Coturnix japonica: one gene and its partner. The protein of the gene in region 1 binds, or shares a complex with, the protein of each later gene. Links are inferred from orthologs where the notes say so. Each region holds a gene or a part of one and is shown in the gene's direction. Other genes may lie near its edges.

The links.
Region 2: MBTD1 (region 1) and VPS72 share a complex: the UniProt entries of both Homo sapiens proteins name them as parts of the nuA4 histone acetyltransferase complex. The link is inferred for Coturnix japonica from reciprocal best matches to the Homo sapiens genes MBTD1 and VPS72.

Annotation. Positions count from the first base shown.
Region 1 is NC_029533.1:8,729,480-8,733,290, forward strand, and holds part of MBTD1 (MBT domain-containing protein 1), read left to right. Parts: coding exon 1-90; intron 91-875; coding exon 876-1,023; intron 1,024-2,766; coding exon 2,767-2,849; intron 2,850-3,183; coding exon 3,184-3,418; intron 3,419-3,811. UniProt on the Homo sapiens protein: Chromatin reader component of the NuA4 histone acetyltransferase complex, a multiprotein complex involved in transcriptional activation of select genes principally by acetylation of nucleosomal histones H4 and H2A.
Region 2 is NC_029540.1:2,245,128-2,249,724, reverse strand, and holds VPS72 (vacuolar protein sorting-associated protein 72 homolog), read left to right. Parts: upstream 1-1,616; 5' UTR 1,617-1,679; coding exon 1,680-1,796; intron 1,797-2,361; coding exon 2,362-2,514; intron 2,515-2,715; coding exon 2,716-2,827; intron 2,828-2,936; coding exon 2,937-3,116; intron 3,117-3,201; coding exon 3,202-3,343; intron 3,344-3,511; coding exon 3,512-3,893; 3' UTR 3,894-3,979; downstream 3,980-4,597. UniProt on the Homo sapiens protein: Deposition-and-exchange histone chaperone specific for H2AZ1, specifically chaperones H2AZ1 and deposits it into nucleosomes.

The DNA of each region.
Region 1 (3,811 bases):
ACAGCTGGAGAGTGGTTTAAAGAAGGAATGAAACTGGAAGCTATAGACCCCTTAAACCTTTCAGCAATATGTGTGGCAACTATTAGAAAGGTAAGAAAACCAACATTGGTTGTCAGAAGACAGAAGAACCATTTTACATTCACCTTTGTTTCAGGTTAGAAACAAAGCTCAGAAAATGAATCCATTAATTGTTAGATACAGCTACTGTGGAAAAGAACATATGTATGTTCAATTTTGATTTTAATCTCTGGAGATTCAGCCTTACATTTAACTAATATATGCAATACTTGTGAGATTAATTTTCAAGACAGTCTTCTGCTAATTATCCCAAGTATTTTGCTGTTGTGTTCAAAACAAAAGCCTCATCTTGCTTGCTGGAGTCTGTGAAGGTAAGATTTTTCTAGATTGATTAAAAGGGATCTCACCAACATTAAATCTTTATTAAAATGGAAGAGAAATGGACTAAAGAAGTAGCATAGCAACTTTGCGTAAGCTTACCAATGAGTGCGGTCATTATTTCAAATCTCTTTTTCTTGATAGTGTGCAGAATATCTTACAGGTAGAGTAAACTGAAGCATAAAACTTTAAAGATAGAACTGATACGCTCACATAAAATAAACTAGAGCTCAGAAAAAGGAAATGTTCGTCTCATAACTTTGCAGTTCACAAAGGTACATTTGACAATAGAGCACACAGTCTTGGAGACAGGTATGATTTCAGTTTGTTTTGCTTTTCCTGTTTTATTGTAATTGAATGTACTTCTAAGTGCTTTCATTATGAGTTACTTTTCACTCTTGAAACATGGCATGTTTTCTTTCTAGCGTTATCACACAGTTCAAGGTATTTAATGTCAAATTTTGTTTTTCTTTACAAAGGTTTTAGCAGATGGCTATCTTATGATTGGGATTGATGGCTCAGAAGCAGCAGATGGGTCTGATTGGTTTTGTTACCATGCCACTTCCCCTTCTATTTTCCCTGTTGGTTTCTGTGAAATTAACATGATTGAACTAACTCCACCCAGAGGTACATATAGAATTCTGACCACATTTTATTTTGAGTATTTTTCAGTGATATTGTATGTGCCATATGCTTTGTTTCTTAAATCAGTCTACAAAATTCATTTCACTTTTTAGGATGCTCTCAAGTCAGAAACGAATAAAACAGCTCAACTTGAAAATAACCTTCAAAACAGAGAAACTTATAACTGAGAAAAAGGGAAATCGAACGTCCTTATGATACACTGGCTATTTGCCTTTACTGCTGTAATTTGAGGACAGCTGCTAGTTGAGCAGCATAGCCATTATGTGAATGGGAGATAGAAATATGCAAGTCGCTGAATGGTCTGTTTATAAATTGTCTTGGTAAATCCAGACCTGCAGAGGTTTAATGAACACTGTAAAGACTTGAGTTAATCAGTGACAGTAGCAGTAAATTTCAGAAGAATATGCACAAACCTGAACTGCAGGGAAGTAGCCATTAGAGCTGTATGCCGCATCATCCCTTCTGTGAGAATAAGCTGTCTGTCCACCAGCACATGTGCCTTCAGAAGACTTACTGCCTTCATCTTTTGATTTGTATTATCAAGGTCTAGCAGCTTACAAAGGGAATTTTAATTAGGCATGTAACAGCAAATAATGATGGGTTTGAGATGGTTTTTCTTCATTCTGCTTGCAGGCTTCTACTTGTATTTATTGAATGATTTTCTAGGTAATAACTGTGTAACACAACACAAAGAATGTTATATTCGTATTATTGCACACTACTGAATTTGTCATCCTTGAATATTTTTAAGGGCATTTAAGGCAAATTTGCTATTTTCCAGTTAACTAGTGAATGTATTGCCTAGAAACTCATGAGCATGGTCATACCTGCAAAATGTGCTGCAGGAGTCTGGACTTGTGTATGATAGTAGTCCACACATACAGTTCCAGAGGAACTGTACATTAACAAGCATTAATTCTCAAAACCAAGAGATCTCCCTTAACAATTAGCTTTCCTGTTGCATCTCTTCCTGCAGACAGTTACGTACCAAAAGTGAACACCTTTCTTTTTAGCTTACATTTAGCAGTGTGGATGTGTTACATCAGTTACTGTGAAACCCCTGCAATTCCTGCTTTTAAGTTGATTCCTTTCTAATATCTTCATCTCTTGCTGAAACCAGCAGAAGCTGAAGGTGCTTTAATACTCATAAGACTTTTAGGCACATTCAGCAGATGAACAAAAGCTGAGTATATAAGAAATGGGAAAGGTAAAAAACCAAATAACTTATAAGATCAGGGGAAAAAAATCCTGTAATTTATTCTATTATTGCTAACCTTAACTTTATTATTGAAGGTTTTAAGTATCCATACTTGTTCTTTGAATCTGTTCCTAATGCATCAAATTTTCCAGTAGTGGAGCTCTTTCCCCACAGGAAAGACACTGGATGTGCTTAATTACGTTATGTGCTCTGGGTCATTTGTGTGGGGCATTGTAGAGATGAAGGATCTGCGTGAACAGAAAGCTTCAAGTGTCGACAATTGATCTTAACATCAAATGATACTTTGTGCATTATCCAGAAATTCATTCATCTTTGTTGCAAAAAGGCAGTGTCCAGTTGACTGTGTTGTCCATTAGGCCAGAGCTCAGAGAATGGAGATTCCTGATGTTAATGTTTTGCATTTTTGCCTTTTTAGCCATAGCACAGTACCACTGTTGTATTCTTGTTGATGTTCTAACATACAAAGTTTGCAGTTGATTTATGAAAGTATTGTTTAAAATTTACAGGTTATACAAAACTCCCTTTCAAATGGTTTGACTACCTCAGGGAAACTGACTCAATAGCAGCACCTGTAAAGCTCTTCAATAAGGTAATAAACACTAAGTGTCCGTCTTTATGTTTAATTTGGGGTTTTCTTCACACTGCAATATGTTCTTCACACTACAATCTGTGTGCTCACGGGATTAACCTGTTTCTTTAAGTACAGTTGTGAAAAACTAACCCAATGGATTAGAATATAATCAGACAGCCCTTATTCCTGGAGTCTGAAATTGTTCCACACAGTCCTGTACTTACCTTCATAAATGATGCTTGAAAATTTCTTAAGCTAAAGTGACTGAAATGTTTGTTTCAGCACCGTTTGCATATCCAATTTAATTTACGCTTTTTTCACATTTGCTGCCTTGATGTGTTTCCTTTCCCAGGAAGTTCCAAACCATGGGTTTCATGTTGGAATGAAACTGGAGGCCGTTGATCTGATGGAACCTCGCTTGGTCTGTGTGGCCACGGTAACTCGCATCATCCATCGTCTGCTGAGGATACACTTTGATGGGTGGGAAGATGAGTATGATCAGTGGGTGGACTGTGAGTCCCCAGACCTCTACCCAGTGGGATGGTGTCAGCTAACTGGATATCAGCTGCAGCCTCCAGCACCACAGTGTAAGTTCTGCCTTGTAAATAATGCAGTTGCTCACTAAGTATAACAAAACAGAAGAAATTCTCACTGATGCTTAGAAGTGTACAGTTCCAATCTCTTCCTCATTGACTTTTAAAGTACTTCTGGGCATCTCTGTGGCAACTTAGTAGTTCACTGTTTTGTTGCCAGAAGATGCTTATTTGATGTAAGGGGAAAAAAAAGCCTGTATTAATTATGGAACAAGTCTGGAGAGAGAATTTGTAGTGATTGAAGTTAGCAAATAGATCTGCTTTGCATGCTGAATGGGATGGACCTCGGCATGTGCTTGGCTATTGCTGTGCAAAAGTGTTGGTGTGAGAAGACTTCATTCAGTACATGAGAACTTGGCCTGTTAGGTCAGTTTTTGTGGTAATTAA
Region 2 (4,597 bases), on another chromosome or scaffold:
GCAGGAAGGGTGGGACGCCCCGATCCTTCCGTCCCAGTCATTTCAGTTGCGAGACTCTGTGAGTAATCAGCCCTGGGGTGAACCACGCACGGCCCAGGGGGGGCACCGAGCTGTGGGGCCGGCTTTAGGGTTTACCTATGGAGAAAGCAAAGCTTTGTGCCCTGAACAGTCAGCCCCACATCCCGGCCCCACATCCCTTCCCCACATCCAGCGGGGTCTGAGATGCTTTAAGATTTTGCATTAGAAAAAATAATGCCCCGTACCCAGAGCAATCAGCCCCACAACCACCGACCACCCCCCCCGACACCCCCTTTAGTCTAAGAGAGGCCCCAGAGATGGGATGAGAGCTTTAAATGCTGCACTGCTGGGGATCAGCCGAAGTGAACGCACTTCACATCACGCAGCTCTGCCACCAAGATTGAAACCCAGCAGGAAAAACACCCTGACCAACACCAGACTGCCCTGCAAAGCAAACGGCGGCGCAGATCCCAGCAGGGAGGGAGAAGAGGTTGAGACTCGTGCACTTCTATCCCATGTGAAGCTCTCCACGCTCTCTGAGCTTTATGGAGGCGGCAGCTCCTCCTCCGGGTGAGAGAGGTGAGATGTGTGACATCTCCGAGCTCCCAAAGGGAACTCAAAGCACGGCGGGAGGAGAAAGAGCAGCTTCACCCTGAGCCGGCAGAGCCACGGACCCCCCCATTCCTCACAGCGCCGTGGGAACAGCAGGGAGCACCAACAAAGGGGGCGGGGAGGGGGCACAGACCCATTTCCAGAGGCTCCAAATGAGGAGCGCGATGCCAGGAGGCCGCCGAGATGAGGCCCCGCTGGGCAGCAGCCCCCCAGCCGTCCCCCTTTGGGCAACCAGAAGCTCTCCGTGCTCTGCCCTGCAATCAGGAACGGCCTCAGCGCTCTGTGCCAGGGACGGCGGTAGAAATCACTCCGGTTCCACGTCCAGCATCCCTAAACCAGACCCATTACCACCAACTTCGAAGGCAATAAGGAGTGTAAGCCCCCTCTCAACACTGACACGGCCGAATCGCAGCTCTAAGTGCCCCCCATCATCCCTACCCCGGGCCGAGGGCAGCCCCACACCCCCCATATCCCCCACATACATCACTATATGGTGACCAACCCCCCTCCCCCCCACACGGTGCCAAACGGCCCCACAGCCCCCAACGGCCGCGACACCCCACCGGGCAGGGGGAGACCGTCACCTCAACCCCCCCCCCCCCCCCCCCCCCCCCCCCCCCGCCCCCCCCCCCCCCCCCCCCCCCCCCCCCCCCCCCCCCCCCCCCCCCCCCCCCCCCCCCCCCCCCCCCCACCAGCCGCTCCTCGTCCCTCCGGCTCTCAGCTCCGCCTCCCCCGCCGCCCCCGGGCCCGGCCTTAGTCCCCCCGTACCCCCGAGGCCGCCGCTGCTGCCGCTGCTGCCCCCCGACTCGGGCCCCGCCGCCGCCATCTTGCCGCCTCCTGCGCCCGCCGCCGCCTCGCGCGAGGCCACGCCCCCTCGGTACCACCCACGTATGGAGGAGGGGGGGGATGTGAGTCACGTGCTCCTCGAGCAGCCAATAGAAATCAACCCAGTCTTCCGGACCTCCGGGCCGCAAGGGGGCGCTACATCGTTCGCTCCGCCCCTACGGCAGGACGACGAGTCGAGCGCCGATGGCGGCGGAGGCGCCGCGATGAGTTTGGCTGAAGGCCGCGCCCCGCGGCGCACGGCGGGGAACCGGCTGTCGGGATTGTTGGAGGCCGAGGAGGAGGATGAGTTCTACCAGACCACGTATGGGGGGTTCACTGAGGTGCGACGGCCGGGACGGGCTGGGGCAGGGGGGCTGCGGGGCGGTGTGAAGCCTTAGAGGGGGGACCCGGGGCCTAAAGGGGGTCGGGGGTCGTGAGGGGTCCGGGGAGTCGTCAGGAAGGAGATTTATGGGGGTGTGAGGTGGACTGAAGGGTTTGAGGGGGTTGTGAGGCCTTAGACGGGGGTTGGGAGGGAACCCGGGGCCTAAAGGGGGTCGGGGGGGTGCGGGGGGTCCTCAGGGGAGGCCTGGAAGGGGATTTATGGGGGTGTGAGGGGAGATGAGAGGGTTGCAATGGAGGCTGAGTGGGATCGGGGACATTTAGAGCCCTGAAGGGGTTGGTGAGGGAAACTGGGGGGGGTCCTGGAGGGGCTGGGGGCACTGAGGGGTCAGAATGGGGACGGAGGCACTTAGGAGGACAGAATGGGGCAGGGGTGGCTTTAGATGGTCTTTAACAGGGGCTCCAAATGGGGCTGGGAGGACCCCCAGGGGCAGCTGTCAATGAATGGCCCATGGGGGGGTGGTGGAGCGCAGCCCTGGCTGTGACGCTGCCCATCTGTCCCTGCAGGAGTCGGGGGATGATGAGTACCGGGGCGACCAGTCGGACAGTGACGATGAGGTGGACTCCGACTTTGACATCGATGAGGGCGAGGAACCGACGAGCGACCAGGATGAGAGCGAACCCAAACGGCGCCGCCGCGTGGTCACCAAGGCCTACAGGGTGAGGAGGGGAAAGTGGGGATGGGGCTGGGTCCATCCCAGTGTCCTCTGACCTGCTGGGAAGGGATACGGATGGCCCCAGATGGATGGGATAATTAGCAATCTGCTAATTGCTGACTGTGGGGAGGACGTGTCCCTTGGAGGACATGGGGCAGCCCCATGTGGTTTCTCCCTCCTCACATCCCTCCTGCCCAACCCTTAGGAGCCCATCAAGAGCCTTCGACCCAAGAAGGCCGACACCCCCAGCAGCAGCTCCCAAAAGGCCCGAGAGGTGAAATTAGCCCCACTGGAACTCCAGGATGAAGTAGGAGACAGTGAGTGCAGTCAGGATGGGATGTGCCAGCATCCCTGGGCTGGAACCAGGCACCCCACTGCCCTGGGAGCTGTGCTGGCCCCACACTGAGCCCCATCCTCCCACTGCAGGCCGGAAGCACATGAGGCAGTCAACAACAGAGCACACACGTCAGACCTTCCTGCGTATCCAGGAGCGCCAGGTTCAATCCAAGCGCAAGAAGGGAGGCCCCAACTACGACCGCCCGCTGACACAGGAGGAGCTGCTGGAGGAGGCCAAGATCACGGAGGAGATCAACCTCCGCTCGCTGGGTGAGGAGAGCACAGGGATTGGGAATGGGATGGGGGGTGTAGTGGGGGGTGCTGAGACCCTCTGGGCTCATCTCTGCTTCCCCAGAGAACTACGAACGCCTGGAGGCTGATAAGAAGAAGCAGGTGCAGAAGAAGAGGAAATGCGTGGGGCCCGTGATCCGGTACTGGTCCGTCACCATGCCCCTCATCACAGAGCTGGGCAAGGAGGAGAATGTGGACGTGGAGGGGTGAGTTGGGAACAGCAGATGGGATCCTGATGCTTTTCCCTTATGCTGCACACAGTCCCCATCGCTCCCATCCCTGGGGCTCAGTGTGGAGCAGCATGTTTAGTGCTGCCCACAGCCTGGGCTCCCCCAGCTCCGTGCATCCCTTAGAGCTGATTGTGGCTCTTCCAGGTTGGACCAAGACCCTCAGCAGGCAGAAGCTGCTCCAGCCTCCAGCTCCAAGTGCTCCCGCACCTTCATCTCCTTCACTGATGATGAAACCTTTGAACGTTTCTTCCCCAAATCGAAGGCTCCGCGGTTGCCGGTGCGGGAGATCTGCCCTGTAACCCACAAACCCGCTGTATATCGTGACCCCATCACTGACATCCCCTATTCCAACATCCGAGCCTTTAAAATCATCCGTGAGGCTTACAAGAAATACATCACGGCCCACGGGCTGCCCAGCGCCGCTGCTGCATCCGCTGCTTTGGGGGCTGCTCCTCCTGGCCCTGACCCTGGTCTGAGAGCCACGCGGCAGAAGATCATCATCAAGCAGAGCGTGCCCACGGCCTGAGAGCGCCTGTTCCTTGTTCCATGTCAACCTGTTTTGTGTTGTTGTTTTCTTGGCTTCTTTTTTGTAATAAAAAGGAGAAAAAAGAAGGAGCTGGAGGTGAGGGGGGAGCGCAGGTCGTGCCCTTGTTGCTGGGTTATCCAGCAGGATGAAATGAAGCCTTGTTTGCAGGCAGATCCATGCAGTGCCCCACACACCCTCCCATAGTGTTCAGATTGGGGCTGGAGGTGAGAAGGGCACACAGGCGGTCTCAGAGCTGTGGGATGTGGGGCAGCTCCGGGACATGTGGGGCAGCCTCTCTCTGCGGTGATAGAGGTGCCTCCCACAGCACCAACCCCAAACCTTCACCCCCCCCCCGATGGGGCGGACGCAGCGATGAGCCCCGATGCCCCGGGGGGGTGGGGGGGGCTCCTGAGGGCGGCGGGTACCGGGTGGAGCAGCGCGGGGCGCTGGTAGGGCTCGATAACAGCGGGATATGTGATCTCGCCCCTCCCCACTGCCGGCTCGCAGAATAAAACGCTGATCTCATGCCCTGCGCGGCCGGAGCCCTTGGCTCAGCACCGGGCACAGCCCAGGCAGGATACACAGCGCCGGGCAGCAGCCAGGTACGGCCTTGGGGGGGAGGGATGGGGGGCGGGGGGACACCGTGCCCCCAACTTTGGGGGGGGAACAGGGTGAGCTGGGGGTCCCCGTGCCAAGCGGTGCTA